Linked DNA regions of Nothobranchius furzeri. The protein of the gene in region 6 purifies or fractionates together with the protein of the main gene of each other region. This does not show direct contact. Links are inferred from orthologs where the notes say so. Each region holds a gene or a part of one and is shown on either strand. Other genes may lie near its edges.

Evidence for each region.
Region 1: the proteins of ikbkg (region 6) and usp10 purify together in Homo sapiens (affinity purification with western blotting; 3 studies listed by BioGRID and IntAct, with this or other methods). This does not show direct contact. The link is inferred for Nothobranchius furzeri from reciprocal best matches to the Homo sapiens genes IKBKG and USP10.
Region 2: the proteins of ikbkg (region 6) and malt1 purify together in Homo sapiens (affinity purification with western blotting; 4 studies listed by BioGRID and IntAct, with this or other methods). This does not show direct contact. The link is inferred for Nothobranchius furzeri from reciprocal best matches to the Homo sapiens genes IKBKG and MALT1.
Region 3: the proteins of ikbkg (region 6) and atm purify together in Homo sapiens (affinity purification with western blotting; 7 studies listed by BioGRID and IntAct, with this or other methods). This does not show direct contact. The link is inferred for Nothobranchius furzeri from reciprocal best matches to the Homo sapiens genes IKBKG and ATM.
Region 4: the proteins of ikbkg (region 6) and tnfrsf1a purify together in Homo sapiens (affinity purification with western blotting; 4 studies listed by BioGRID, with this or other methods). This does not show direct contact. The link is inferred for Nothobranchius furzeri from reciprocal best matches to the Homo sapiens genes IKBKG and TNFRSF1A.
Region 5: the proteins of ikbkg (region 6) and sqstm1 purify together in Homo sapiens (affinity purification with western blotting; 3 studies listed by BioGRID and IntAct, with this or other methods). This does not show direct contact. The link is inferred for Nothobranchius furzeri from reciprocal best matches to the Homo sapiens genes IKBKG and SQSTM1.
Region 7: the proteins of ikbkg (region 6) and map3k7 purify together in Homo sapiens (affinity purification with western blotting; 8 studies listed by BioGRID and IntAct, with this or other methods). This does not show direct contact. The link is inferred for Nothobranchius furzeri from reciprocal best matches to the Homo sapiens genes IKBKG and MAP3K7.

Annotation. Positions count from the first base shown.
Region 1 is NC_091749.1:59,302,704-59,307,303, forward strand, and holds the start of usp10 (ubiquitin carboxyl-terminal hydrolase 10), read right to left. Parts: upstream 3,107-4,600; 5' UTR 3,007-3,106; coding exon 2,827-3,006; intron 2,346-2,826; exon of another isoform or gene 2,213-2,345; intron 1-2,212. UniProt on the Homo sapiens protein: Hydrolase that can remove conjugated ubiquitin from target proteins such as p53/TP53, RPS2/us5, RPS3/us3, RPS10/eS10, BECN1, SNX3 and CFTR.
Region 2 is NC_091757.1:57,789,883-57,793,571, forward strand, and holds the end of malt1 (mucosa-associated lymphoid tissue lymphoma translocation protein 1), read right to left. Parts: coding exon 3,679-3,689; intron 3,599-3,678; coding exon 3,471-3,598; intron 3,088-3,470; coding exon 2,944-3,087; intron 1,942-2,943; coding exon 1,784-1,941; intron 1,680-1,783; coding exon 1,554-1,679; intron 1,286-1,553; coding exon 812-1,285; 3' UTR 623-811; downstream 1-622. UniProt on the Homo sapiens protein: Protease that enhances BCL10-induced activation: acts via formation of CBM complexes that channel adaptive and innate immune signaling downstream of CARD domain-containing proteins (CARD9, CARD11 and CARD14) to activate NF-kappa-B and MAP kinase p38 pathways which stimulate expression of genes encoding pro-inflammatory cytokines and chemokines.
Region 3 is NC_091753.1:29,149,083-29,153,006, reverse strand, and holds part of atm (serine-protein kinase ATM), read left to right. Parts: coding exon 1-112; intron 113-207; coding exon 208-579; intron 580-660; coding exon 661-852; intron 853-927; coding exon 928-1,029; intron 1,030-1,103; coding exon 1,104-1,341; intron 1,342-1,413; coding exon 1,414-1,545; intron 1,546-1,639; coding exon 1,640-1,765; intron 1,766-1,837; coding exon 1,838-1,927; intron 1,928-2,005; coding exon 2,006-2,195; intron 2,196-2,493; coding exon 2,494-2,687; intron 2,688-2,758; coding exon 2,759-2,838; intron 2,839-2,933; coding exon 2,934-3,089; intron 3,090-3,499; coding exon 3,500-3,575; intron 3,576-3,712; coding exon 3,713-3,837; intron 3,838-3,915; coding exon 3,916-3,924.
Region 4 is NC_091745.1:73,838,575-73,842,498, reverse strand, and holds part of tnfrsf1a (tumor necrosis factor receptor superfamily member 1A), read right to left. Parts: coding exon 3,892-3,924; intron 3,820-3,891; coding exon 3,741-3,819; intron 3,142-3,740; coding exon 3,077-3,141; intron 611-3,076; coding exon 435-610; intron 348-434; coding exon 227-347; intron 146-226; coding exon 1-145.
Region 5 is NC_091741.1:64,353,357-64,357,790, reverse strand, and holds sqstm1 (sequestosome-1), read right to left. Parts: upstream 3,058-4,434; 5' UTR 2,827-3,057; coding exon 2,664-2,826; intron 2,502-2,663; coding exon 2,406-2,501; intron 2,335-2,405; coding exon 2,060-2,334; intron 1,943-2,059; coding exon 1,789-1,942; intron 1,680-1,788; coding exon 1,611-1,679; intron 938-1,610; coding exon 783-937; intron 707-782; coding exon 508-706; intron 424-507; coding exon 263-423; 3' UTR 130-262; downstream 1-129. Other genes in the region: mrnip (MRN complex-interacting protein), read left to right, coding at 1-56. UniProt on the Homo sapiens protein: Molecular adapter required for selective macroautophagy (aggrephagy) by acting as a bridge between polyubiquitinated proteins and autophagosomes.
Region 6 is NC_091755.1:44,541,787-44,546,167, reverse strand, and holds the start of ikbkg (NF-kappa-B essential modulator), read right to left. Parts: upstream 2,893-4,381; 5' UTR 2,868-2,892; intron 2,695-2,867; exon of another isoform or gene 2,370-2,694; intron 1,035-2,369; 5' UTR 1,033-1,034; coding exon 894-1,032; intron 1-893. Other genes in the region: tmed4 (transmembrane emp24 domain-containing protein 4), read left to right, coding at 2,981-3,170, 3,797-3,897, 3,971-4,096. UniProt on the Homo sapiens protein: Regulatory subunit of the IKK core complex which phosphorylates inhibitors of NF-kappa-B thus leading to the dissociation of the inhibitor/NF-kappa-B complex and ultimately the degradation of the inhibitor.
Region 7 is NC_091743.1:91,287,384-91,291,307, reverse strand, and holds part of map3k7 (mitogen-activated protein kinase kinase kinase 7), read right to left. Parts: intron 2,434-3,924; coding exon 2,368-2,433; intron 2,294-2,367; coding exon 2,248-2,293; intron 497-2,247; coding exon 358-496; intron 1-357. UniProt on the Homo sapiens protein: Serine/threonine kinase which acts as an essential component of the MAP kinase signal transduction pathway. Plays an important role in the cascades of cellular responses evoked by changes in the environment.

The DNA.
Region 1 (4,600 bases), on a different chromosome or scaffold from region 6:
CTGCACGTTTGCAATAAAAATGTTATGTTGTAATAGAATTCATGCATTAGTTTTTGTTTGCTTTGAACCCAGAGCAGACATCACACGCCAGACGACACCAACACTGCATACTTTAGTATTTGTTCATTTATCGCAAGTAATATCGATATCGCAATATTAAGCACCGTTATCGAATATCGCAGGTTTTCCTAATATCGTGCAGCCCTAGTACACCCGCAAGTTCCGGTAAAATTACCATGAAGTCCCGGTAGTGGAAACACACCTAATGAACTCACAGGCCGCGCTGTTAATCCTTTCAGAGCAATAAATAGCCGGCTGTGAAAAGGGAAGGCACAGAGAAAAGAAAGTGCAGTTCAAGCATATGTAACTCTTTGCAAACAAGGCCCCCCCATTAGGGCTCACATTGCTGAAACAGCACAACAAGTGACAAACAGCCGGCTTTAATCCCAGCAGCCTCGGAACAACTCGGTCACAACAGAAAGAATGTCCCTTTGCATCTTTTTATGAGCATACAACAGATTACAACAAATTGGACATCTGTATAATTTCAGCTATTGCACGATGACACAACACACTTGACCATTTCATGAAAACTCTGAGATACACACGGGTATAAAAGATGCCAAGATGCCAGCAGATGTATTTGTTTCAGGCATATTCATGTGATTTATGAGAAACTATTATGGTATTAAATAATCTTCAGAAATTTTCTACATAATTAAACGACTAAACCAATTTGCTTCTCTGCAATATTTCTGTTGACAAACCTTTAATATTTATGAAATCTACACGCTGGGAATCAAACACAAATTCTGAGGAAAGTTTGTGTACTCTGACAGAAACAGATCCCTATGTCAACATGAGAAGCTGTAGAACACTGCTAAGTGTGCATGCACCTGCAGGGACATGTCATTACTTTAAAATACACATTAGAAGACAGGAAGGATATATACTTTTAATTGTTTTAATATAAATAAGCAATACAACTATATTTCTTAGCAGTGCAACAACTATTAAAAGTGGTATTTAAGTAGAAATAACCCAAAATGCAATAATTACTACCTGTTCACCATAAAAAATGTTTAATTCTGAAAGCCTGAAAATCAAATAAATCAAACATAACTTGTTTCTGTCTTTCAGCCTTTAGATTTGAATGACCATGCAAAAAATAAGCAGAACCAAATCTGCCATTATCAATAGAAACGGGTAAAAAGTATAACTGACAAGATTTTCCAGCATGACCTGTTTCCTAACCTTTATCTCTTCACTATAGAAGAAGTATGACCTGCTTTGACTGATGTTTGTATTTGGTAACCTATAAGTGTGTGCACACATTTTGTTATTCAGTTCACTTTAACAGCAGCTGCTTCATTCAAGAATTTAAATGTGAACAACAATTAAACAGGATTTTTTAAATCTAATAATGGTTGAAATTTGCTCAATTTAAATGGAGGGGAATCAATATTTCTCAGTAAATATTGACCATTTACCCCATGCCTAAAAGTTGACAAATACTCTTGTGATAAGAGAAATCAAATATTTCAGGGCTGATACCTGATCATTTCACAACGTAAATGTACTTTTGTATAAAAGGGGGAAAAAAGGCTGAAACTGAATTTAATTTATTTTATTTTTATTTTTTTGGTTCTCGTAAACCACTGCTTTGCTGAACAGTCAGCCAACAGAAATGCTCAGTTTGGGGCAGGAAAAGGTGTGAAAACATAATTTCCAGTGATACGTCGCTTCCTGTAATAAATATACATGTTTTGTTGAACATTTAATTCAAACGAACGGCTTATGACGGGTTCCTAATTGATGTGCTTTCGTTTAAATAAAACACTAACTTTGAGTCAAACACAACAAACCCCGGACTTACTTGCAAGTTACTGCATGCACACCTCAAAACGGGCCTTCCCACATGAAGGTTAGCCTCCACGGAATTAAAACCCGAATCTGCTTCCTACAGACTAACTTCTATCACACAGCGAGAAGAGCTAGTTTGCGTTTGCATACGCGAATTGCCCATAGCTAATTTTATCGTGTGTCTACTTACGTTTGCATAAAATGTCAAAATACGAATTAAGGCCCACGCTGTCGCACAGTATTCAGCTAACCAGCAAGCGAAATGACAGCAATGCACACCACCTGTGCAAAACTGCTAGCCTGCTAACAGCTAAATAAGCTCGAAAATGCATCTCATCTTTGGCTTTACTTCTGCTAGCATACGCCTACATTTGCTTGCGGAAAAATATCCGCGAATCGGAACTTGCACCTGATATTGGACGTGTATTCAGTAGTATTGATTTAAGAAAACAAAGTCGAGAAGGCCCGTGTCAGCAGAGCAGGTGGGCCGTGCAAACACGCAGCAGTTTCCTTTCCTGTGACTTCTCTCTTAACAAATAATTCATGACAATCGTAGAATCTGGTACCAAGCAATCCCTGTCGTTTCATTATGCGGGCTGTAGAACCGATTAGATGAAAAAATGCTTTCGTAGCTTTTAAAAATAGCAGTAAGCAGTACTGCTGGCTCATTTGAATGGAGGATCGCACGGCCTGTTAGCAATGTTACCATGCTGGTTGTGTTTCATTGGGAGGAGGGGGGGTGGATGGGGGGCATTAGCAAGCACTTTTCAGCACTACGAATTTCAATGACACGATCAAATCGCTGTTGTAAATGAAAACACACAACTTAGCATAACACGAATATGGTATGATAATTATTTGGTGAACATGTTTTTGCAAAAGAGAGGTGATCGTAAAGCTTTAAATAACGGTTAGATGAATTCCACATTCAGTTGTTTTACTGGCTAATGCTAGCCGAGCTACCTGGTTGCTGTAAGAAGCCATGCTCCTGGTGAGATTTTCTCCCCTCCGCTGACCAGATGAAAACTTCCCCGGGAAGGTGTTACGGGTTTGTAATAACTGCAAACAGTGCTCTACTTTGACGTCATTGTCAGTGGTCCATCGATGTATTTTCAGTTGAAAACTGTGATCCGTGTAATGCATCCGCACTTCATGGTGCTCGACTTGCCATATTCTTCGCTAGCTAGCCAAACCAGCGCGCGGTCGACGAGTAGCAGCGACGGCTCGTGGAGTGATGGTAAATACTTCCGTTAACGGTTAGCTTGTGCCTTCACAATAAAAACATTGGGAATGTCGTAAAGTTGTAATATTTTGGGCAAATTTATTTAAAAAAATTACCAAAAAATGGCATATTACAAAAATTGCAATTATTATTTACCTTTAACATTTCAGTCTTTATCTCTGAAGAAATATGTTTTTTTTATGTTTTCACAAACATGTTTCATAAGAGTTTCATATAAACTTGTTGCATTTAGTTTTACTTTGTACAATTTTTTTAATTATCAATGAAAAATAAATGAATAAAAGTAATTGTTACAACAGTGGGACTTATGTGGTATCAGCTTAGTAAAATTCGCCTTTTATTATTTCAGTCAATGTGATTCGAACTCCAGCAGAGCTTTGATAAGTTTCATTAAGTTTGTCTGTAGAGTTGTGTACTTGACTCAGGTGAAATTCATTTCAGCAGTGCCCGCCTCATCTTTAACATTTTGATTTAATTGTGGGTTTATTCTTTGCAAAGGTCCCTGTCATTTGTGTAATTCCTCAAAGGTCCATCTTGGGGCCAGTTCTATTTACATTATGGGTCCTGTATCCTATCTTTCACATTTTTTAATCATCATTTAGAAAATATCCTGATCTAAATGCCCTTTAAGAAAAGAATAGAGAATAAATTAAATTTCTTTGAAGAAATGATATCTGCAATAAACTGTCAAATAATTTGAAATTAAAATTTTTAATGTTAAAAATAAAAAGCTTCACCCCTACAACATAAACCCTTCCTATGAAAGTAAATAAATATAACTAATAAACATACACGTTTGTAATTTTGTAAGTAGCCTATAAAGCATTTTATTTTTTAATGAGACCTTGAAACAAACTGCCTCCTTTGGCTGTTAATTAAATCAGAATTAAACGAATAATGTGATACAGGACAATTTTTGTAGCTTTAATGTTAAATAGGTTAAAATAACAGACTATGGACATTGTCTGAAGGGTTCCACAACTAGACAATAGGTCCTATTTATTTACTTGTTCATTTAGTTGTTTATTTCAGCAGTGAACATTTTGTTTAATACAACAGGTAGACTATATCAGCTGTTAAAACTCTCGTATACAAAATGAAGAAAACAAATTTCACACGAATATCTCCAATCTGTTATTATTTCATATACTTTTATTATGAAAAGTCTATTTTCCTCGGCGGAAATGCTTCGGATGAAACGGGTAAATTCACTTCGCTTGAGCGCTGACCTCGTGGTCGTGTGTCGTCCGGGTTGTGGCATGAATTGCCAAATTTGGTGTTCTAGACATTAGTTTAACCGAAAACAAAAACTTTTATAACCGTTTTCAGTTTGATCTAAATCTTTGCGAAGAGGTTTCCATTTTTGTCCAAAACAGCAAAATAACAGCAGTTTTTTGTTTGGGAGTCCACACGCACTAAATAAATGGTGCAGAAACATTTTTTCACATAAACAATACCTTCAACACAAAGATGGCAATAAAAACGCATTTAAAC
Region 2 (3,689 bases), on a different chromosome or scaffold from region 6:
AAATACACATAAACCTCTAACTCATCTGTGTGCTTTTTTCTTTAGCAAAGACCAGCTGGTCTTCTAGTTTTGTTCACCTAACCCTAACCCATCTGAAAACAACCCTTGAAGTACAGATTGGTGAGTTTGAATGAATGGTGCCAACTGGAATCTTTGAAATTAGACCAACTATTTTCCACATGAGCTGTAATTTAAACCCCAGAAAGTCTGAGTCTGGGTGAAAACGGTTATCTTTGTAGCATAAATGACAAAAGAATTAATTTTGCTTTCTCATAAATTGTGATATTTCATATCGTGTAGCTTTTGTTCAGTGAAGCATTTTGTGTGTTTTCTCCGTGAAAGGTGCAATAAAAATAATTTACTTATTTGATTACAAATGGAATTTTCAGATTTGTACATCAGAGTAATTCATATAAAACAGATTTATGCTTTGTCCCATCCTGCACTTCCTGAGATACAAAGTTGGATGTAATCTGTTAAATGGCCACTAGATGTCGCCAAACTCTTTATACATAATTTCGTGGCATTTTTTTGCAATAAATCTACATTTTTTAAAAATCCATGTCCAGCAGTTTTAAACTTAATGTACCATACTTTATCCCAAGTAAAATGGAAGCTGAGAAAAAATTACAACAGCAGTTTTATTTTACTAAAATTAATCTCTCCAAAAATATATTGATAAAAAAACCTTCAACAAACAGCTTAAGACAAATAATGCTTAATAAATCGAGAGTACAACATGTTTTTCCATCCTGTGACGTGAAGAGCAGCAGCATTTTTACAAATATTTAAGAGGTTTAAAGCTCATGTTTCACTGGGGCTGAAGCTGCAGGCTTTTGATGAACACAGTCTGCAGCTCAGTGATGTCCTCAGTCGCTTCTATTGGGATGCTGAGTTTCAGTTCGGGCTCACACGCTCCATCGTAGCCATATTGGCTAAAGTGGTCATAGCGGGAAAACGCACAGCCCCCCACAGCACCCTGAGGATGCTCATAGATGTCCAAGTGGTGCTGTGGGGAGAGGCGGTTCAAGGCCTGGCCCTGGTGTGACCCGTGGTAAAGGAGATGCTGGTGGTGTTCAGGCCCCGGGCTGTGACATGGGCTTTGGGAAGGGCTGTGGGGCATCGGGCAGGTCTGCAGGCAGCTGTTCCGACGCATGGCCCGGTGGAGGTCCAGTCTAGCGATCAGTGGCTTTCCTATGTTGACACTTCTGGACCAGTATACGGGATGATCGTCATCCATGGCTGCAAAAGTGCCCTGAAGGCACACGGTGAAAACCAGCTCCTCCTGTTACATTATATTAGGAGAGAAAATAGTTTTCAGTAAGAGAAACAACCCAGATGCTTCCAGAGCTAAAAGAGAACCTTGGAGCAAAGGAGGATTGTAACAAACGATTAAAAAATGGGTTTCTGGTGTTGTTGTTGTGGAAAAAAGAACTGTTATGAACTATAAGCATCTTTATCAGACTGCAGAATATCAAACCCTAATGCATACTGTTGTAGTTTTTAATAAGTAAGCCTTAGTGTCACAATTGATCAGTCTATGTTCTTTGTACCCGGAGCTTCTGCAGCGAGCTGAGTCTGGTGTACAGACAGTGCTGTGGCAGACTGCTGGACAGCAGGTAGATCCCCGTCTCCTCTGGAGTCTCTCTGTTCATCTCTTTAGGATCCACATCTAGATCCTGAAAACAAGCAGGGACACTTTTCAACCTCAAAACCTAATCGATCTTTAACGTTTACAAAAACCAAGAAATCACAACTGTCAGATGAAAATGTGCGACATCACCAGTGAGAAGTCCGTGACATGAGCCTGGCAGAAAGACATGTCCTCTGGCTTCTTAATGATGTGAGTGTAAATGACGAGAACGTTGGAGAACTCCGCAGCGAAGCCCAGCTTGATCTGAGCCCCGCAGTCAAAATGAAGACTCATCGTCTCAGGAAGTTCTGGAACAACAAGCAAACACTTTGGGAACCAGGTTTTAGTTGCTAAAAACAAATCATGTTTAAAGAAAATATTTTATTTATTTGTAATGAAAATTATCCATAATTAATACTAAAAACCAAAACCACGTAAAATATCAAATCTGAGAATCTACCAAGAAGCCACGCAAATAAATCGATTTTTAAACTCGTTTCCCCCAAAAAATTAACAAGAAAACTTCAAGTTTTCATTTTCCGGGATTCCAAAGGCTACTTTTTATTGGGAAATAAAAACGCATAAACATCATTATAGTTCAAGTCAAACTGTATTCTTTTAGTGGAGCTAATACAGCCACATATCAAGCCGAGTTTCAATAAAGGAGACGAGTTTTTCCTTCAGAAAAATGACTTTACTGCAAAAAAGCAACATTTAAAGTTTTAAATGTCAACATTTAATTTTAAAGTTACTTTGAAATGGAATTAATACATTTTTAAATCTTCAACTTAATACATGATATAAACCGAATAAAGATGTTTAAAAATAAATAAAATACCTAACACAGGAAGGAGAAAATCTCAATAGTTTTGAGAAAAATTGCTTTCACAAAAATAAAAAAATACGCTTTTGAAGGAATAATTTAGATTTAGGCTGTTGAGTGAATTCAACACTAAAAACTTAGATTTAGTTTTTAATATGAATCACTGACACGTTTATCTCCTCAGACTCCTGAAAAGCTGCAAATACGGTATCTTTAGTTTTGTGCGACTGGTTGGCTGAAACCCAAGAGTAGCTGAGTCATGGTTTACAGATTTGTTTAGGCAACTATTTCTAAGAATATGATGTTAATCTAACAAGCTTCATGCAACAGTTGAGCTGTTGAAGGAAACTCCCATGGCCGTGTGTCTTTCCTGTAAAGATCGATAACTGCCAACATCTGGCTGAGCGAGACGTGTTCAACCTCCGGACGCTGAGAACTGAAGATTAGCATGTTTTATGTCATGCTGTGTGTTTGCTAGTGGGCGTACCGTGAGCTTTGGCCCACAGCCGGCTGTGAGCGAGATCGGCGCTGTCGCCGGGCAGAATAGGATCGGTCAGCGCTCTCCGCTCTGCCAGACTGCTGCGGATCTCCAGAGCCTGTTTACCCTTGGTGGCATCAAACTGGCCCATATCTGGAGACGAGAAAACCGTGAATTGATATTATTAATAAGCACCTGAATAAAAGCCGCAACCTGCTTACTTTTCAAATGGATAAAAAGTTGTAAATAATCTGGGCCACACTCGTCTACAAGCCACAGGTGTCCACTTTTATATGTCCAGGTAACGTGCACAAATACGTAGAGTAAATGGGTTTTTCCAACATGTGCCTGTGACATGGCTGGTTAAAAATAAATAAATAAATAAATAAATACATACAGGTACAATAGCCTGCCACCTCCATCTTCCCACTCAGAAACAAACCATCCTCAGTCTCCCTTTTGCTGTCGCTGTCAGTATCCTTTTATAAGGAGGAATGGGACTGTTGCAGTACAGTAAAGTACTAATAATACTTCACCTTCAGCAACTCTGTCCAGCAGCACAGTGATCTTCTCATCCTCCATCAGCCGCTTCTTTAAAAACTTGACAAACACACCGTTGGTGAAACCCGTGGAGCTCAGCTCAAAGGCCTCAGCATCTTGGCACCTAAACAAAACAGACAAATGCGTCACGTTACGATTCTGAAATCTAAAATCGCAGAAGGAACTGGATTGTCTCAGACTCACGTTGCATATCC
Region 3 (3,924 bases), on a different chromosome or scaffold from region 6:
TGAGCAGTCCAACTCCTGGGTCAGCTAATAAGCGACGGCGTGTTGAAATGAGCTGGGCCGTCCTCAGAGACCACCTGCAGCCTCAGCACAGTGACTTTGATGTCATACCGTGGTATGAAAACACCATGGAAACGAAACTAAAACCACTTCTTGCACAGTAGCGGACAGGACTATTTGATGTGATTAATCTGCGTTCATTTCCTCCAGGCTGCAGATCACAGCGGTGCTCTCCTCCAAGTACCCGTCCACGCTTCCCAGTCGGGAGCTGGTCCCGTTGCTGTCGGGGCTGTATCAGCTGCTGGCGGAGCAGCGGAGAGGGGAGAGGGGTCTGTACGTGCTGCGCTGCCTGAAGGAGGTGGCTCACTGTCAGACTCGACACCCACAGACGGCGCAGGCCCACGGGGCCGAGCTGGCCAGGCTCTGGGTCCGGATCTGGGCTCTGGCGTTGCGCGGGGTCAGCTCGCCCCAGACCGAGGCCCTCAGCCTAGACCTGCTGGCCTCCATTGTTCACTGCGGGCTGATCGACATTGACAGAGAGTTCTGGAGACTCTTCTGTGCATCTGCGTGTAAACCGTCCCAGTGAGTCCTGATTAAAACCCTAATAGCCGACGTTTGGTTGCATCACTAATTTCTTTTGCTGCTTTGTGTTTTATTTTGGAGGAGTTCTGCTCTCTGCCTAGCACAGGCTGTCCTGAGGTGTCCAATCCCAAATCGTCTCTCATCAGGCTCAAGCTGGGACAGCGTGGGAGGCGCTGATGGGTGCGTGAAGGAGACGCTCATAGCCTGGTTGCTGATGAGCGACCAGAACGAGGAGACTGAGGAGAGCTGCAGACCTCACCCCATCATCTGCAGGTTCTTACTCCTGATTCAGGATCTTCTTACTGAATGAGGTGAACTGACTTTTACAGTCACTGTTCTCGTTCACAGAGACTTTCCTCACAACCTGATATCGAACATCTTGGTCTCACTGACCCTCAAAGACTCCAGGTTAGGTTTAAAGTTTCTGCTGGGTTCTGACGGAGCTCAGAGGTAAATAAAAACACCCGTCTTGCTTCACCTCGCGTTGTCGTCTTCCCACCCAAAATAACCGTCTACTCGTTTAGCTCCTCCTCTAAAGAACGGGTGTCCTCTGGTGCCAAAGAGGACCTGGAGGTGATTGAGAGACTCTATCACCAGTTTAGCTTCAGCGTGTCGCCATCAGAGACCAGAGAAGCTGAGGACGAGTTGGGGAAGACGACGTCGGCCAAGAACCGGTTCGCCATTGTTCCTGGCCTCTGGAACCAGCTGGAGCAGCTTCTGCTCGCTGTAGCGGATGGTCTGCTTAACTGCTACTCTCCTGATGTGAGTGAACACTGCTAATCGTCGTCCTCACAGGAAAAAAAAACGATTCTTAATTTGAACCTCCCCTTGTAGTCCGAGTCCAGCCCCCCACAGTGTCTGGTGCGCTGCTGCAGCCAGCTGACGGGTGTTCTGGCTGGTTACGTCTCCACCGGGGTCCTGAGCAAGGAGGAGGCCTGCTGCTCACAACTCTTCTCCAAAGCAAAGGTTCACCCACCAGAAGTCATCAGTCACAGGTGATCCGCCATATCCAGAGGAGGCTCGTGTGACCGCTGATATTCTGGGGTGTTCGTGTTTCCAGGCCTTGGCCCAGGACCTCAGCGGATTTGTCTCCAGCATCAAAGTGAAGATGAGCGAGGAGAGGATCATGTCCACAATGAGATCGGTTATGAAGCTTTGCAGACAGAATAGCAGCAGGAAACTCAAGGTAAAAAAACCCGTTAAGATGAGTCGTGGTTTAACAGTTCAGCTGACTGAATACGTGGATCTCTGCTAACAGGACGGCGTCGGTTCCATCTCCTCCGGTTTGTTTATTTTGACCCTGCCCGCCAGCCTCCTGGGTGAGCTGGCAGAAATCTGCAAACTGCTGGTGAGTCTCATCTACACTGGCTTCACGATGCTGCGTGACGAATACAAAAACAACCTTTTTTTATTTTGCACATTTAAGTTGAGCAGCGCTCCGAGGAAAGTCAGCTCTGTCGATGACGACGAGCACATGGACGATGACTGGGAAACGAGCAGAGCCGAGCCCTCTGGGAGCGACTTTGACCTGTTTGATGATGGTGAGGACTCCCACAGCAGCACCAACGGGACCCACAGACCCCAGGGAGACGGCACCGACACCTCATGTGGCCCAGGTGACGGGAACACAGAAACACACCTGGTTCATTTGTTTCTAAAGCTTGTGTGGCCGATCACCTGCTGATTCCAAAAGCTGTGGAGAATCTCCTTAAACTACGTTTAAAACGTAAAGACCTTTTCCTGTGGGTTTTAACAGCATTTCACGAGTTTATTCCTCTCACTAATTGTGTTCTTTATTCTCTGGGGTTTATCCCTGTTTTCATTCATGCATTTGTTAGATTTACTGGTGAAGTTGTGCCGTGCAGCACTCTGGATGTGTTCAACATGCTTTCTGTTGCTTCCTGAACACACCAGGTGCTAAGAGCCTGCTAGCGGAGGAGTTTCTGGCCCAGCAGGACCTGGCTTTGCTCGCAGCCCTGGAGTTCCTGTGTGAGTGTGGTTCTGCTCGGCCCGTCCATGGCCTGCTGTTTAAACCGCAGGAGGTGCGCCGCAGGCTGCTGCTGCTGCTGGAGCAGATAGACTTCAGCAAAGCCCTGCACCTCCACATGGTGAGTAGCAACCAGCCTGGGGTTGAAGGTCACAGGTTAGCTGCAGGCGCTAACGTATCACCGTCCCGTAGTATCTCGTCCTGCTGAAGGAGCTTCCTGCTGAGGATTCGTTGTCTCCAGAGGAATTTGACTCACTGCTCCGTCCTCTGGCGTAAGGAGACGTTCCTGCTGTCCACGCTAGTGTCCTAGAATCGAAAAAGGATGTTTTTGATAGATAATTTGATGTATTTGTGGCTTTGCTTGCAGGGACATGTGTTCGATGTATCGTCAAGACCAGGAGGTGTGTGCTGCCATCCTGCTCGGTTTGTTACCTTCCATAAAGAGTCTGGGGAGGACACGTCACACGCCCGAGGACATGAGACACGTTCAGGGATCTGTTCTTCAAGTCGTCTCTGGCTTCTGGTCTGAGGATGTGTTTTTTTTATTTTACACCTTTTCAAAAATATAGTTTTACATATGAATAAAAAAATTAATATATATAAAAATATATAAATATTATAGATATTTAATATATGTATATATAAATATGTGTATGTATGTGTATATATATATATATTTATGTATATATTTATATATATGTGTGTGTGTGTGTGTGTGTGTATGTGTATATATATATATATATATATATGTATAAAAATATATATATTTTCATTTTATTGATATAATAATTATTTTATTTTTATGTTTTTACAAACTATGTAATTACTTATTTACTATTCCAATATTTAATTACAAATATTTAAGTTACTCCCCTGCGAGTGAGTGAGTGAGTATTTCTGAGCTCTTCCACTCGATAACTTTTTTTGTTTCAGCCTCCTGAGCCAGTCGGGGAAATGCGTGGCCCTGGTGAGAGCTGCTTTAGTCCAGTGTCTGGTTGCTTTGCTGGAGGTAAACTCACTTTACTTTGCTTCTAATTATTCCAGCATCACAGAAAAAAAACTCAAAACAAAAATCCTAAAAGACTAGAGAGACTGATTGAGGCCTACATGGTAAGATGAGTTCCTTCACGGCTTTGTCGTGCTCAGGCTGACCCGTGCTGCAGCTGGGCCATCCTGACTCTCGGAGACGACCCCGTGTCTTCTGCTCTTCCATCCCACCTGGCAGACGCCCACCACCGAGTCCGTATGCTGGTGGCCGTGTCGCTGGAGAGGTGGGTTCAGCCAGTTCTTTTTTATTGTTCTAGTTTTCTTACATTAACACTCGTGTACCCGTCCTCCTCTATATTCAGACTGTTTCT
Region 4 (3,924 bases), on a different chromosome or scaffold from region 6:
AGCATCTGGTAGTGAGCCTCCCGACAAGACCTGTGGTCCATCTCGGCTCGTTCGATCTCCGTGTCCTTCACACCGAGACATCGCACCAGCTGCTTCACCTGCAGAACGGGAACCAGATCTAGCACTGCGTAGATCAGCTCTGGGACTGCAGAAGAGGAGAGCACGGTCAGAGTTCACATTGTGGGTTTCTGCATGTCGAAGTCAGAGCAGACTGCTATCAACTCACTCTTAATCTCTAGGGGGACGCAGTCAGGCAGCTTGGACAGCTCCAGCTCACCCACTGGGTTTTGAGCGGCTGCTTTCAAACAGATGCTCTGCGGAGGTCCCTCAGCGTAGATCAGGAGATGCTTGGAGACGAGAGTAGAAAACACATGACTGACCGCAAGCGTTCATCAGACCGATCAAGAGAACCTCAGACTGTTGGGTGAAGATACCTTTCCGGATTCCACGGAAACTTCAGAAGTCTGGGAGGACAGAGTCGGCATCTTCTTCTTGGTGAACCGTTTTGTAGCCAAGAAGGTGACCAGAACCACCAACGCCAGCAAGACTAGCACCACAACTACTGATCCAGCAACTAGATTTATTAGCAGGTGATTTTTGGGCTCAGGGCCTGGATGGAAAAACAAAATAAATGCATATTATAAAACAGAACATTACAAACACACTGCAAAAGTTTTAAAGCACCAATAACCAAACCTGAATGTGATCCTTTAAAATGTTCTTGGCCAGTCTTCAGGCTTTCTAAACGTTGAATCGTGTTTTGTTCCTGACCGTGACGGTTTATTTTGTGGTCTATGCTTATAACATAAGGGAATTGCACGAGCGGAGGGCAAAAGAAGAAGTGTCAGGTCTAAAGAATAAATCTATCGGAGGGAAAAAGAATAAAAAAATCCAGCAAAGTTCCAAAAACAGGACCTGAAAATTCATAATCCTCAAGCAGATTTTCAGGTTTTCAGCCAATATCTCTTAGAAAACTAGCTTGACAATGCTAAGATATTATTTTATGTGTCGCCTCAGGTTTTTGCCATGCACTCAGCTAAAGAATTGGAAACATGTTCCCTCATTTTCACAAGACTAAAGTAACAAAGAGCTTAAACGTACAATTTAAAACAGGATCTGTGCCGAGCTGATTTGTGTTGACACAACGATGAATCATCATCAGGTTCAGGAGACTGTCTCAGTGATTCATAGGTTAGTGTTAAGTGTTTTGCTCTCTTGAATGTCTCATTCACCCATTATTGCAATAAGTGTGCAGTGGACCTTAGTATAAATAAACGCCTTGTCAATCATTCTCTGTGGAACAAAAGCTCTGGCGCAACTGTTTCAGGAAGTAGAGAGGGGCAGAAAACGGCAGGATTTGGAGCCTTCCTCATTAATATTCACAATATTCAGACGTCTCGCCTCTGATTGGCTAACAGCAAAGAGAGTCTTTCACTGCCTCCATTTGCTCTGATGTTTTACAAATAAACAAGCCTGAAGGAGTTTTGCCATGCTGGGGAAAAGCTAATGCTATCAGTTAGCTTCTACTAGTTGAGATGTGCTCTGCTTTTTCATGGCTGCAAAAAAAAAAATAATCTGCCTTCCGCGTCACGAGCCAAGATGGGTGAGCCGATTAATGCAACTACAGAGATCCGTCCAATCCATTATTTATAAAATTAAAAACACTAAAATTCTGTGATCTGGTGGACTACAATATTTGAAAATGTATGTATAATGCAAACACAGGGTACACACCTGCAGGTTTAATCAACAGATTTACAAAAAGACATAGCAAATATCATTTAAAAGGACATGAATTATTTAATATACCTAGACATAGGATACTCATAAAGGAACATTGTGTGCCCATATATGGAGTTAAATGTGGAATAAATTAAATACTGAAATCAAGAATGCAAAAACAATATTGACTTTCAAAAAAGAGATAAAAAAATGAAATTATTAACTTATATAGACCTGTTACATAAACGCGTGAGGGGAGGGGGGTTGGGGGGGGGGGATGAAAGAAAAAAAATAAATAGAGGGAAAAGGAAACAAGTGTATGTATGCATATGTGTATATATGTATGTATATAGGTATATAACTTTATGCTTCTTTCTGTGTAACTTGTTTTCTCTTTTTTTTTTTCAATTCATGGGTTGAGGTTGTGTCGGCCAACCAGTCCAGAAACGATATTGTTCAAATTTTTTAAGAATCATATGATAGTTTCATTTGTATTAATGTTATTTTAGTTTAAAGTGGCAGGTAACATATGTTTTTCTTCTTTCTGTCCCCTTTTTCATTTTGGCTGTTAGCAATTTAGTTTTGTATTTTTCTTTTATTGTCAATAAATGAAAATAAAGTTGAAAAATAAAAATTATTGGGTGATAGATCTGTGTGGCTTTTTCTGACCCGATGCAAGGCATCAATGCTAACCAGTGCACCACCGTGTAGCCGTTTTCAACTTGTAAAAAATGAAATATAATCAGTCACTGTGAGTTTACCGTGCACGCTGATAGGCTCCTACACCTATCTCCTGCATTAGCTTCTGATGGTGAATTGCTAGAATTTGAAAATCCTGACTGATCTATGTCACACTGTCACTTGACATTCATGGACTCACCCATCTTGACTCGTGACGGAAAGGGTTTTGTGGTTTTAACATCCAGGAAACAGTAGAGAATGTCTCAACTAGCAGAAGCTAACCTTTAGCATTAGCAACTCCACCACCCAGCAGAACTCCTTGAGGCTTGTGTTATTTGTGGAGATAAAACATCAGCGTTGCAGAACAGAGTCAGTGGTAGAGTCCCATTACGGTTATCCAATCAGAGGGGAGATGTCTGAATATCAGGAAATAAGACTCCAAATCCTGCCGTGTTCTGCTCACCTCCGCTCTGGCTAACTTCCAGTTCTGAAACAGGAGCGCTAGAGCTTTTTTTTTTCCCCACAGATTTCGACGCACAAGGCATTCATTTATTCTAGAGACCACTGCAAATGTGGTTCAAAACCGAGTGAACTTGGTCTTGAAAGAATAATGGAAAACTCAAACGGTGAACACGGAAATATGGCAAGAGAAGAAACAAGTGCGTCATGTCACCTGGTTGGCGCTCACCTTCTGTCGCCACTTCCAACATGCAGTGTTGTGAGCAGCCTGTGGTACAACTGTGGAGGATAAACAGGATGTTTCATTGCACCAAGGAGGAAGTAGCATGTCTTCAGAGGAAGTGATTAACGCAAAGGCTGACATGTATTTTTTTTAACTCCAGCTTTCTGTAGCTCTGGTTTCAAAGTTCGACTACACAGAAAGTTGAGCTGAACCAGTCACTGTCCCAGTAACTCAGAAAGATTCTTATGTTTATGCAAACCAGGATGTAAACATGACAGAAATATAGGAAGTTTGAGCTGCAAGTTTTTGTGCTTCCTTGTTTGATTTGTGTCAAACATCTTCGACTATAAGAACCAAAAATAAAAACACTCAACGCAGCATTTTAGGAGAAGATAAGAGAGGTCATTATACGCTAACAGACTTTTAGTAGACGCGAATAAGAAAGGTTTTTTTTAGCGAGTCTCAAGACGTGTGTGTCATAACTTCTCTCCTGTATTGCTAACAAATGGAAAGCTTGAACAAAGTCGGAAGTGAGCTGCAAGTTTCATTTCTACAAACCAACTTCCTTAATTAAAATGTTACAAAAAAACCTTCCCAAACTCGAAGATGGAAACAAAACGAGAACCAAGGACTCGTCGGACAGCGATGCACTCACTTCCTGCAAGGTTCACACTTGTTTCTGACTCTGTAGAAGTTTTCCTTACAGCCACACACGGTGTCTCTCTCTCGAGTACCTGTGAAAACAAAACTGGCTTTACCACGGAGTGGTTGTTTAATTTATTACAGAAGAATCTTTAAAGACTCACATGCATGCTCCTCCGTTTCATCTGGTTTGCATC
Region 5 (4,434 bases), on a different chromosome or scaffold from region 6:
CCATGTTTGAGAGTGGTGAAGACTTCAGCTGTGATGATGACTTCCTTAAGTTTTAAATGTGTTTTGTGCCGTTTACATCTGAGCTGCTCGTTTAGGATTGTTATGAGTCGATTCGTAGACATTTCAGAGTCATGTTTTTAAAATGCGTTTATTGATTAGAAACAAATCAAAAGTTTAATAAAAGGTAAACACAGAAAAGTGATTAGTTATTAGGTGTGGACAGGTAATTGTCAGACTAAAAACAGAAAGTAGTCAAATGATGTCACTGGCGTGGGTGGGACTGCTTGGCGTACTGGATGGCATCGAGTGCAGCTCCAATCTCGAAGTTTTTAGCCTGAAGGAGCCGAGTCAACCAGCCGCCTTCATCTGTAAAACCCATCGAGAGCATTGACGCCAGCGACTCCACCAGGCGGGGGTCAGCCTCTGTGGGGGACAAAGGGGAGGGGCTTAATAGGGACAGGACTACCAAAAAAAAAAAAAAACTTGAACCGCAGAATCTGAACTCACCTTGAGGCAGGTGTGGATAAAGAGCTGCCTCCCGCAGACCTGTGGGTCCCTCCTCGGTCCCTGACAGAGGAGCTGGACCTGGACCTGGACTTGGACTTGGGCCTGAGCCCTGGCCCTCCAGCGACTGAAGCTCACCTGTAGATGGATCAACCTCTTTAGAGCTGAGATGAGTCCACTCATCATCTTCATCTCGGCCCACCTGCAGATTTGTGTATTTGGTCAGTAATTGTCATTAATTAGACTGATCTATTAGTTTTTGTCTGAGGAAGACTGACCTTTGGCCCCTGCTTTGCTCCACCTTCATTGCTGGCTCCACTTTCGCCAGCTCCCACATCCATCTGCACTTCACCCTGCTCTTCCTCACCTTGAGTAGGTGAAGTCACCTTCATCCTTTGCCCCTCATGCTCCACGTCGATGTCCACATCAATACCTGCACATGCACAGATAAAGTCCCTACTTCATCAGGATTCTGTTGTCAGGAAGTTTAATAGAAACGGTTAAATGTGATATTCTGATCTTTCTGAAGGGATGGTCAATAGGTCATATATCTACAGTACAGACACTGCCTGCAGGTGACATCACCGAAGGTGAAACAAAGTGCTCCTCTGAACAGAGGCTAACTAGTCAGCTTGGTAATGAAATAATACATCGTTTCTGGTGTTTAAAAACAACCCATAGTGACGCGTTAGCACGCTATATTAGCAGTTTTTAAAGCCCTACAATTTTACATGAGATTGTTTCTTTAGTTTATGCTGTTTGTTTTATTCTAATAACGTTTGAAATACTATGCTACTGCTACTGCCTGTGTGCCATTGGGTTTTCACTCTGCCCAAGTGGAGCAGCCAATTAGGAAAAGCAGGACATTGAGGTTTTTCTTCTGGCTAATCCTGGAAATTAGCTTCTAATGTCACAGATCCAGCTAGCCAAAAGTAATGCTCTGGTCAGAGGACTTCCTATTCCTAGAAACAGTAGTTTGGAATCTAAATTGACAGAACAGCACTTTAAAATGACTTTAAATGTCTGAATGACACTCGTGTGCGTATTAGGATGAGTTCCCTCTTGTTTATTGCACATTAAAAACATCTCCAGGTAAAACAACTCACCTAGTGGGCTCAGCATGGCAGCCACGCCCTCGCCAATGTTCTTCAAATAGTTCACGCTGACCTGAGAAGCTACAGAGGTCAGAGGTCAGTCTCTGTTATTGGACAATGGCTCTGAGTTGGACTCCTTTTGACTGATGACCAGTTTGTACATAAACACAGATCTGTTCACATCACCTACCAGAGGAGGTGCTGCAGTCAGATGCTGAGCTGGAGGGAATGGTTTGCTCCTGCTTCTGGTTCTGGTCCTGGTTTTGGGTCTGTGCCTGGGCCATGTGCTGGTTCCACGTGCAGTGTTTCATCTTTTTCATCCATTTTCCTCGAGGAAACCACTGCTAAATAAAATTTTAAGAAAACCACCGATTTATCACATTTTAATCAGGAAATGTGACTTGTTCTGACACCTGCCAGTGGTGACCTGAGCTCTGACACCTGTCATCCAGGTTACTCACCTGTAGAGGGTGCCACACGGGCAGCAGAGGGTGCTCAGTGTGGGTCCCTCGAGCCTGGCAGGTGGAGCAAAGGTCGTAGTCTGGACACACTGAACACTTGAAGCGCGTTCCGACCACAGGGCCCTCACAGCCGTCACAGGTGACGTTGGGATGGACGGCAGGGGGCGGGCCCGGGTGAGGAGGTGGGGCATGAGGAGGTCCATGTTGATGAGGGAGCCCGAAAGCGAAAGGGGGGAATGCATGAAGAGGGAAGTCCCGGCGGTGCTCCTTCTTTTCTGCAAGAGTTCAACAAAACTTTAGTCAGATGGAACCTTACAAAGAAATAACAGGAAGACGACTTGTTTACCTTTAATGAAGAGGCGAAAGGTGGCGTCCTTGACAAAACCCAGTCCCATCATCAGCTCATCATCAGAGGAGAAGGCCACCAGGTCTCCATCTTCATCTAAAACACCATAACTCAAACATCAAGTCCAAGCACAGATCAGGTGGCACCAAACATCATTCATCAGAATATTAAAAACAATCCAGAACCAGAAAGACACGCAGCAGAAATCCAGTCAGTGTTTGGGTTGAAACAGAACCAGCTCTGATATAAGCGCCTCACCCTTGTAGAATAGGTTGAAGTTGCTCAGGTTGGAGAAAGCTGCCGCCACCTTCCTGCTCAGGTACTCGAAGCTGCAAGAGACGTCCTGGTCCACCGCAAACCTGCGGATCTCCTTCACCTGCTCGTCCTTTCCCAGCAAGTAGGCTTTCACCGTCACCGACATTACGAACTCAATCGAACCAAACTCCGAACAGAGACAGAAAAACAACCAAACGGAGAACCAAACTCTAGAACTTTGTGACGCAGCGGTAAATTTCAGCCTCTTTTATGTTTACTTCCGCATTCTATGTCATCGTCTTAAGATGACGTAAAGACGCACACAGCCTCCCATTGGTCCTCATTGAGCTCCGCTAATGAGGGACCATTGCCGTCTAGAAACATCTTTTTACACAGCACGGTGAGGGACTTTCCAACTAGTCACGTGAGCAGGTGTTAGTTGGGAAAGCCGCTTAGTCATTGTGACGTGGCACATTGTTTTATTTGTTAGAAAAGTGATTGATTTGTAGTTTATTAATAAAAAAATATGAAAATCCTAAATGAGTGGATCCAGCTGAGAACGCAACTGCAGGTCTAGAAATCCAGCAGAGAAACATAAACATGCATGTTTGTGTGTGTTTTAACTGAGCTTTGGTTTCAACCCCGACATGCTTTTTCTGTTAATTATCTGCTGAAGATAACCCCAGTCCGTAATTACTACAACAGAGTCAAGAACCCATACACACTTTTACAGAATTAATCTACAGCTAAAACGAAAGCAATCTGCAAATCCTGCTCTAATCAGTCCAGATTCAAGCTGATTTTCTGCTGTCCAGTTGTAAACAATTAGATGGGATATGAAATGTAAAACATAAGTCAAACTCTCAGTATTCCTCAAACACCTGAGTCATCCTTGCATCACTCTTTTCAAATGTCTCATGAGCTTCTGTTTTGATCAAATGTTTGTTTGCATCTGTGATGTCACCCAGCCGCTGCAGCCAATCAGCAGCAGCATGAGTCATATGACTTGCTGACTCAGAATCACAAGATGAAGCTGAAAACCACCCAAACCTCTCATTTAAAGCCTTTAAAGGTCAATGTAGTGAAAGTCACTGCATTTGAAACTGTTATTCAGTTTTGTCAGCTTGACTAAAAACAATTTATAGAATCAAAGATTTTTAATGGAAGAATTAGCTAAATATTTTCTGACTACATTGTATAAAGAGCTCTGATTACATAATCAGGTTTCAACAACCTTAAGGTAAAATTAATTTAACATTTAATTTCAATTATTTAATTGTAATCATTTGTTTTTATTGCTTTGGTCCAATGATAAACATGCATGCTTGGATTTCTTTTTGTTCTTAAAACAAAGTTAAACAATCCCAGAATGCATCAGTGCTCTCAGCATCCTGGAGCTAGAGTGAGGTTCTTCCAGTGAGACTGATTAATAGCCAAATGAATCCACTTTTAAACCAGGTAACTGAATGAATTACAGACATTGAGACAAATATTTATTTAAACCAGTTAACACCTTGCACCAGAATCAGGTCCATAAGGTTTTACATCTCCAATCAGTCAAAGTTGCTTCTATAATAGAAACCAGCTGATTGGATCAATCCAAAGCAATTCTCTATCCTGGGCAGCACCAGGCTATTGATTGATCGATCCTTTATTTTGGTTGTCATGTTTACAGAGAAGATCTTCAAACAACTAAGATACATCACGATAACGTCATGAATTACAACCAAAAAAGGAATAGGCAGAAGCAATGCTTATTTTGGCCTATTCTCCA
Region 6 (4,381 bases):
TTGTGTCCTTGGGCAAGACACTAAACCCCCCTTGCCTGCTGGTGGTGGTCGGAGGAACCGGTGGCGCCTGTGCTCGGCAGCCTCACCTCTGTCAGTGCGCCCCAGGGCAGCTGTGGCTACATCGTAGCTCATCACCACCAGTGTGTGAATGTGTGGGTGACTGATCCGTGTTGAGGAGTAGCTACTCCTGTGATCAGCTGACCTGAGCGAACGAGCGGGCGTGTAGCGATGCAGTAGCTCAGACAGATAGGGAGGGGCCGGGCCATTTAAGCCCTTAAAAGCAAATAAAATCATTTTAAAATCAATCCTAAAATGAACAAGCAGCCAGTGCAGGGAGGCTAAAATGAGGGAAAACCTTTGATTGCCACTTAAAAGGCGAGCTGCAGCACTCAGAACCCTCTGAAGCTGAGCAAGGCAGGATTCACTGACTCCTACCTCAAATGCCAACATACTATTCTGATAGGAAGTGGGTGGTTGATTGTGTCGAGGCTGCTGAGAGGGCTAGTAGAACCAAAACCGCTGCCGATTTAGCATCAGCAGCTAAAGAAATGTTGCTACGGACAGCTAGAAGAGCAGATTCAGAGCTGTGCCGACAACAAGAAGCAGACTGAAAAACTCAAGGATTGGATTGTCATCTAGGAAAGTCTGGAACTGCATAAAAGCAGCATGTGTTGATCCTGATAAACTCAGCCTGTCGTGGACACCGCTCCTGCATCCAATCACCGTTACAGTAAAGGCTGAAATTACTGTTTGAATTTACTTTGTTCTTTTACCTCGATAACTCTAAACTTAAACGACTTCTGAAAATGCTAAATCAGACACACGGAAACCTAAAAGCCCCGCTGAGCATCTGGTAATACACACAAGCGTGACCGTCGTGTGTTTTTAGGTACCTCGAAGCTGCTGGTTGTCACACAACAATCTGGTCACCACTTCATTACCAGCGAACTCTGGTGGGACCCTGAGGACCCCCCCGCAGTCCTCTCCTGACATGTCCCACTGCATCGGACCATCAGGCTGCGGCTGCACCATTCCTGCAGAAGCAAAGGCTGGGAATTACAGAGATCTAATCCATTCACTTCTTCATATGAAGAACTCAGACTCTGGCGGTTCCTGAACCTGTTTCCTGGTTTCCTTTGGAGACTTGTTACACTTTTAGCTCATTTTTTAATAACGTCTAAAATCCAGCCTTCGTGGCATTTATTTAAACGGGCATTGGAGAAACTTTTTTGTTAGTCAAATTAAAACATATTGTGTACGTTGGTAAGAAAGACTAAAAAACCTGTTACCATCAACACTGCAGGTCAGTTCAAACCAGCAGAGGCAGGAACAGTTTGTTTCACCACCAACAGAAAATCATCCCAGAAACTGCAGAGTTCAGTCACTTCTTTACTGCTTTATGACGTCACACCTGTAGTGAGTGAATCTCACCACTGTGGGATTAATAAAGTCTATTCTATTCCTTTTTTTATGTTATTGTGGTCGCTCCGATTGTCATCTAATGCAACAACAGACAAAACAGCAACTTTTGCTGCTTCTGTAGCTCTAGTAAGAAAAAAGTTTCCCCTGGTTCGCTAACTACTTCCTTACTTATAAATATGGTTTCCAATAATCTACACATTGAAGTCAGAAGTAAATTAGAAAAAAGAACAATCAAGCAATTATCTGAGTCTACAGCCGATCGCTTTCAAATGCACAAAAATATCAGAAATACAAATGGTTCTAATTCTAGTTATCACCATGTTCTTATTGTTAAATTCACATTACTATAACATACCAAATGGCTCATAAAGATGAAAAAACAGGAAGTCACAAGGATCTCCTGCATGTATATTTTTCCCTTGTATGAATATTGTCCTTGTTCAATTAAAATTGTTATTATTTGAGAGACAGCAGGCTCAAATCGTGGCTGTGCTGTTTGATTTTAAAATAAGAAGTACATAAATATGTGATTAAAAGAAAAATAAAATGAAAAACGATCCTAAAAGCCACCATGGAACAAGTGAACATTTCAGGTGTAAGTAAGACCTGAGCATGACGTCTAGGGGGACTGGACACGTTTCAGCCCCGTTGGGGATCTGGAAACGTGAAACTTTCACTTTCAGTTTAAATGTGAATTAACTGTGTTTAATATGACCGGTTTGTGTCACGGCTCATTGGCGAGGTGCCAGAAGCCCTTCTGAACAGTTACACCTGAGAACAGGTGGTCATCAACCTCTTCTTATGGGACCTCAGCCTTGTCATTGTCATAAAAGTAAGATCAGGTGTCTGCTATGAAGAACATCACGATAACCTCAGCAAAGCTCACGTTAAATACTGTTTAGACAACATAGCTAACACACAGCTAACAGACACAAAACTTGTCTTACCTTTTTAAATTTTATGTCGTAAACAACAATTATCCAGTCTCAGACTCACAAACTACTCCCTTCACCGAGTTTAAAAGAGCAATCTGACTCAAACAGCTGAGATACAGCTAATTAGCTCAGTAAGCTAATATAGCACAACAACGGCTGGGCAAACGGACGCCTTTGGTTTCACATAAACACGGACCTACATCAACGGATCATGTGGCCTTCCTAAAGCATGTGTCCAGTTTTGAATCCTTTCCTTCGTGAGTTTAAGACTACCAGAGGTAAATCAGAGGCAAACCAAAGGTAAGCTGTCAGCTTTTCGACTGTTATTAGCGTGGAAAAATCGTGATATATCACCCTCAGTTTAGCCTTGTAGGCAGAACACCCGTGACTCGAACATCGAAAAACGTGTCGTTTATTTTAAGACGTTTAATTAACACAAATGAACAATAAAAAAGTTGACAAATTACAAGTGTGTGATCAAATCGAAATGGCTGTGAATTTAAATAATACCAGTGGCACATCGTATCTTTAAGCGCTGCAGAGGAAAACTCTCCTGTCAGTATTAACCCAGGGTGTAAACACTCCGTTCTCAGGAAAGCCCCTTCCTTGTTCCGTAGTGGAAGATGACGTCAGTGCGCTGCAGCATTTTGATGTCCGCTAACGTGAAGGAGGTGAAGATGCTCCCCATCTCTGCCGCAGCGGTTTCTCTTCTGGTGGCCTGGATTTACCCCAGCGGCGCGCTTTATTTCCACATCGGAGAGACGGAGAAAAAATGCTTCATTGAAGAAATTCCAGACGAGACGATGGTGATCGGTGAGCCGGTTAGCTTAACGCAGCTAACTAGCCGTCTTGCTAACAGCTGGTTGTTTAAAGATGCAGCAGATGACACCAATAGTTGTTTATTATTATTATTATTATTATTATTATTAGAGACTCGAGTCAGACAGGAAATTCTGGAGGCTTCAGCTGCGGGTTGTTCACCACTGAGGAGAAATAACGTTTAAATATCTGAAAATTCAGATCATTTAAGGGAAACATTCAACTTTTGGCCATTGATCTTTAGCTTGTTGTTTATTATCAATAAAATAAACATTTTCCTGTTTACGAAGGTATTTCCATCAAACCTAAACAAAAGATCTGTCAAATATCAAAATGAATACACAATCTTTTAAATGCAAAGAGGAGATGGGGTATAAATGTGAATGTTTATTAAATATTTCATTCATTGCTGGGATGATTTTATGAGATAAATACTATTATTACATCCATGTGTCCAATATTCCGTCCTAACACAGGACAGCAGATGTTAAGCTGGTTTATTACTGGCATCCAATTTGTGGATGATCGTGTGTGTGTGTGTGTGTGTGTGTGTGTGTGTGTGTGTGTGTGTGTGTGTGTGTGTGTGTGTGTGTGTGTGTGTGTGTGTGTGTGTGTGACAGGAAAGTACCGGACTCAGCTGTGGGACAAACAAACCACTTCCTTCCTCCCATCCACCCCCGGCCTTGGCATGCATGTAGAGATCAAGGATCCAGACACGAAGGTAAAGCCAGACAGGAAGGTCTGGAGGTTCAGAGCAGAGGTGTAAGTCTGAAGGTGTCTCCTCCACGTTCCAGATCATCCTCTCTCGTCAGTACGGCTCTGACGGACGCTTCACCTTCACCTCTCACACTCCTGGAGAGCATCAGATCTGTTTGCACTCCAACTCCACAAAGATGGCTCTGTTTGCAGGAGGAAAGCTGGTACGGAGACCAGGACCATGGCTTGACTTTTAACGGTTTCACTTTTCCACAGGTTGGGTTAAAAAAACCAAAGTAAATATTGTTTCAGTGTAGAAGTGACACATAAACCTGTCAAAAAAGTGAACGAGTAATAGAAGCAGGGACAAAAACATCAGCAGCAGCTGGAAATGTGTGTGTTCAGTTAGATTTTCCTTAAGAAAGAAGGAATATTTTGGTTTGGTTGCTCCTCCTAAACCGCTGAAGTTTGGGTTTTCAAGCATCAGCTTTTATTTGTGTAGCGCTTTC
Region 7 (3,924 bases), on a different chromosome or scaffold from region 6:
CTACAGGTGATTAACGGGTTTAGTATAATGTAAAAGGAAGAGATTTGGTAAAAAAAAAAAAAAAAAAAAAACAAGGGCCCAATTAGATCTTTGGCGTGTGAAAAGCTGATCTAAGCCTGTTTATTAGGCTGATCTGTAATGAGATCAGCATTTAACGCCCGACCCTTCCTCCTGCGAGGCGTGATCCTCGTGTGAAGACGCATACGAGACCCTGTGGGGATGAGTCTCTGCCCCTCATGTTTGTAAAACCAGCGATGATGACCTGAGAAGTGTAAGTGCAGCGCTTGTGAGGAATACATCAGTCTGCTGGCTGTGAAATGGGTGGTAGGAGTGTGGGTGTGAGGAAGACGAGCATACTTGGGTGGCTTGAGGTCCCTGTGAATGAGAGCCTTTGGTTTCATGCCATGGAGATAGGACACCCCCCGGGAACACTGTAAGCACCAGCTCATGGCATGGGAAGCAGTGTAATAGGGGAGGGGTTCAGCACCATGCAGCACTGTGGACGAGAGAACACGATCACACACAAACCAGCAGCACAAAACAACGGGAAGACTGGAAACCAAACATGGCCCAGCAGGTCTCTACAGCACCACCAGGGACGGCCCACAACTCCAAAGCTCTGCTGCTGCTCCGAGTCTCTCCGTGGAGCCGCTTTGAAACAGTATTTTACACAACAGTACTTTATAAACCTTTACACAGCGGTCAACTTCTCATTCCACGCCGACTCCAGCAGAAAAATAGCTGCTGGACCTGACTCCAAATGTTCCAGAGTGAAACGTGTGATTTACAGCCACAGCTAACCTGACCGCAGTGTAAGAGTTCATAAAATAACGTGCACTTTGGTTTTTAGCTCATCAGTGTGGGTAAACATAAACGTTCCGCTATATATTCTACAGACACTGTGCGACTTTTTCATTTGTAGCACTCAGTTTCAGCTCACACCGTACGTCTGGTAGCAACACGTCGGACCTAAAAATGTGCTAAAAATAGCGTTTTTTACAAAACAGGTCAGACTTTTTATTGTGTTGTTATTGACGTCTGTTGTCCCTCGGGATCGCTGCAGGAGGACACGGGTATTTATGAGAGGAAAACAAAAGAAAGTAAATAAATGTTGTGTGATCAGTATAACTTGACATAACCACGGCAAACATGCTTTCTCGACAATCCGTGTTAGTGTGAGACAAAAAAGTGTAGAAATAAAAACGGACGTGTGTTAATAGGGAAACAGCTGGCGAGCCATGTTTGCACATGCGCCGTGAGCGGTTCTGGTGCTGTTTGGGCCGCAGCCGCTCGCATTTGTTTACTGTGAAGTAAAGTTGAAGTACTGAAGTTTTGGTTTACAAACACAAAAGGGTCATGTATTAGAGCACTCGATTAATCGATAAAAGATTCGATACAGTACTCGATTACAAAAATATTCGATAGCTGCAGCCCTAGATTAGATGCAACCTTTCCAGGAGTGATGCTGAAAAACTAGTTCATGCATTTATTACATCAAGACTGGATTACTGTAATCCATTACTCTCAGGAAGTCCACAGAATGTAGTTAAAAGTCTTCAGCTTGTCCAAAATGCTGCAGCTAGAGTTCTGATGAGGATTAAAAAGAGAGATCATATCTCTCCTGTCTTAGCTTCCCTACATTGGCTAGCTGTTAAATTCAGAATAGATTTTAAGACCCTTCTTCTCACATATAAAGCTCTTAATAATCAAGCTCCATCATACATGGATGGAGGATGGCTGCTTATACTGAGCCAGGATCCTCTGGAGGTTTCTTCCTGTTAAAAGGGAGTTTTCCTCTCCACTGTCGCTGCATGCTTGCTTAGTATGAGGATTGCTGTAAAGACTCTGACACTAGTCAGTGACTCGATGCGACCTGCTGGGTTCCTTATATAGGAAACTTGTTACTGATTGGCTTAATGACCTGACCTGTACTGGGATGTTTACTATGTGAAGGCCCTTGAAACGACTTGTCGTGATTTGGCGCTTTATAAATAAACTTGAATTGAATTGAATGTGATGACCTCCGACAGGCAGAGACACGAGAGAGACGGAGCAGCAGCATGCTAGCTGCAGCCATATTCCATCTGTAGCACCAGTATATCAGAGGAGAGTGAGACATCGGTAGAAGGACTGCTGGTGATGCAGAGAGATGTTAACCAGCTAGGGGCAGCCTTCATGTGTGTGACAGGCTGTGCTCATGGTCACCTAGAACACACAACCGCTCTCTGGTTCTGAATCTGGACTCACCATTGTACAAGGATCCTCCTTCTGCGTATTCCATCACAAGACAGACCTAAATGTGGAAGAGAACCAGGAATAAACCTCTGAAACTTTATGAAACTAACAAAAACATTTCACCCTTCTTACCGGGTTTTTACAGGAGCCGTACAACTTCACGATGTTTGGGTGGTTCACACGAGAAAGCTGTCTCAGCTGCAAAGAAAAAGCATGAAATGAGTGTGACACTTTCACTGCTGATACAACAGCAGGGCTCCTCCCAGCGGCACCGAGCCAACAGGAACATTCTGACTCTGATGAAAGTCATGATGTGAATGAGTGAGAGACCGATGAAACACCCTCCATGGGCGAGCTCACGGACCTGAATGTCTGCCTACCAAAAACAACAACACCTTAGAGCTAGTGATGCATGGTGTACCCGGTCGATATGATACAATAACCGCGGGCAGAGCTGCTGACTCTACCGTCCGACAGTGACGGCGCGTAAATATCATCATGCTGTGTCAGCTTGCCACAGCGCACGGAGGAAGGCGTGCTCGTTGGGAAGATGGAGTTATGTTGGTTATACGGACCTGGTTTGGGTTCTCTTTTACAAACAAAAAAGAACTGCTGCAAAGCATCGTTTTAGCTGCAGTTATTAACGACTAACACTAAACTTCTATGAGCAAAAGAAAACCTGAAAATTATTAAATTAATCAGAAAGAAATTTTATTTGTGTTTTTACATTTTTCATTAAAATATCTTCATCTTTATTCACGTCATGAGAATATTTGTGATGAAAAGTTTGAAAAAAGAACCTTAAGAACATAAAAGTCATTTGAGACGTTTTGTCACGTTAAACGGTTTTTAAGTGGCATTCTGTCCTTTTCATCAGCACTTGTTCTGGTGCCGCTCATCTGGTGTGAGAGATTGTTCAGAAAGGTTATTTGGACAAATAAACTAATGAAAAGAATACGTCGTGTTACCGCACGTGCTTTAAATTATATCACGATTTATAGATGTTGGGCCCATCCTACCTACAGGTGTCACTTGGCTAATGTTAAGGTCAGAGGTCATGAGTCAAGTGAGGAAGAACACAAAGGACCTGCTGGAACCATGCTCTGGCAGAGCATCCTGAAAGAGAACGTCTGACCTTTGACCTTAAACAGGCCGTTCCTGCTGGAAACCCCTCTGATGTACCACTCAGCGTGTTTACACGCACATCTGAATGGATCTAAAATAAACTGGGAGCCTTTCTCCTAGTTTACCTGTACGTTAGAAAACCAACCCCCGTAAAGACGTTAGTACCGTTCCGGTACAGTTGGAGGCGACATGCGCCCTATTGTGTAGGCGTTCTTCCGGTTAACTTATAGCAACACAAATAGCAAACAAACGCTGGTGGGAGTGAAGCAGACAGAGTTAAAACAGGATATGAACAATGGCCGAATGGACAACAACGCTGCGGCACAGCTGATCTGTGATGCTGTTACACGTGCGACTTTGTGGCGATGATATCAGAAGACCTCTTCTGCGTCTCGTCAAGTCTGAAAGTTACCGTCATCAGCTCGATGGAGGCGCTTACACACAGATGAAGTTGGGCTCCCACTACATTATCTGGGTGCTTCAGGACGACTAGAACCAGTTCACGTTCAACGAGACTTACAAGTTTACATGAGTTTAAAAATCAACAACGTCAGTCTACTTAGG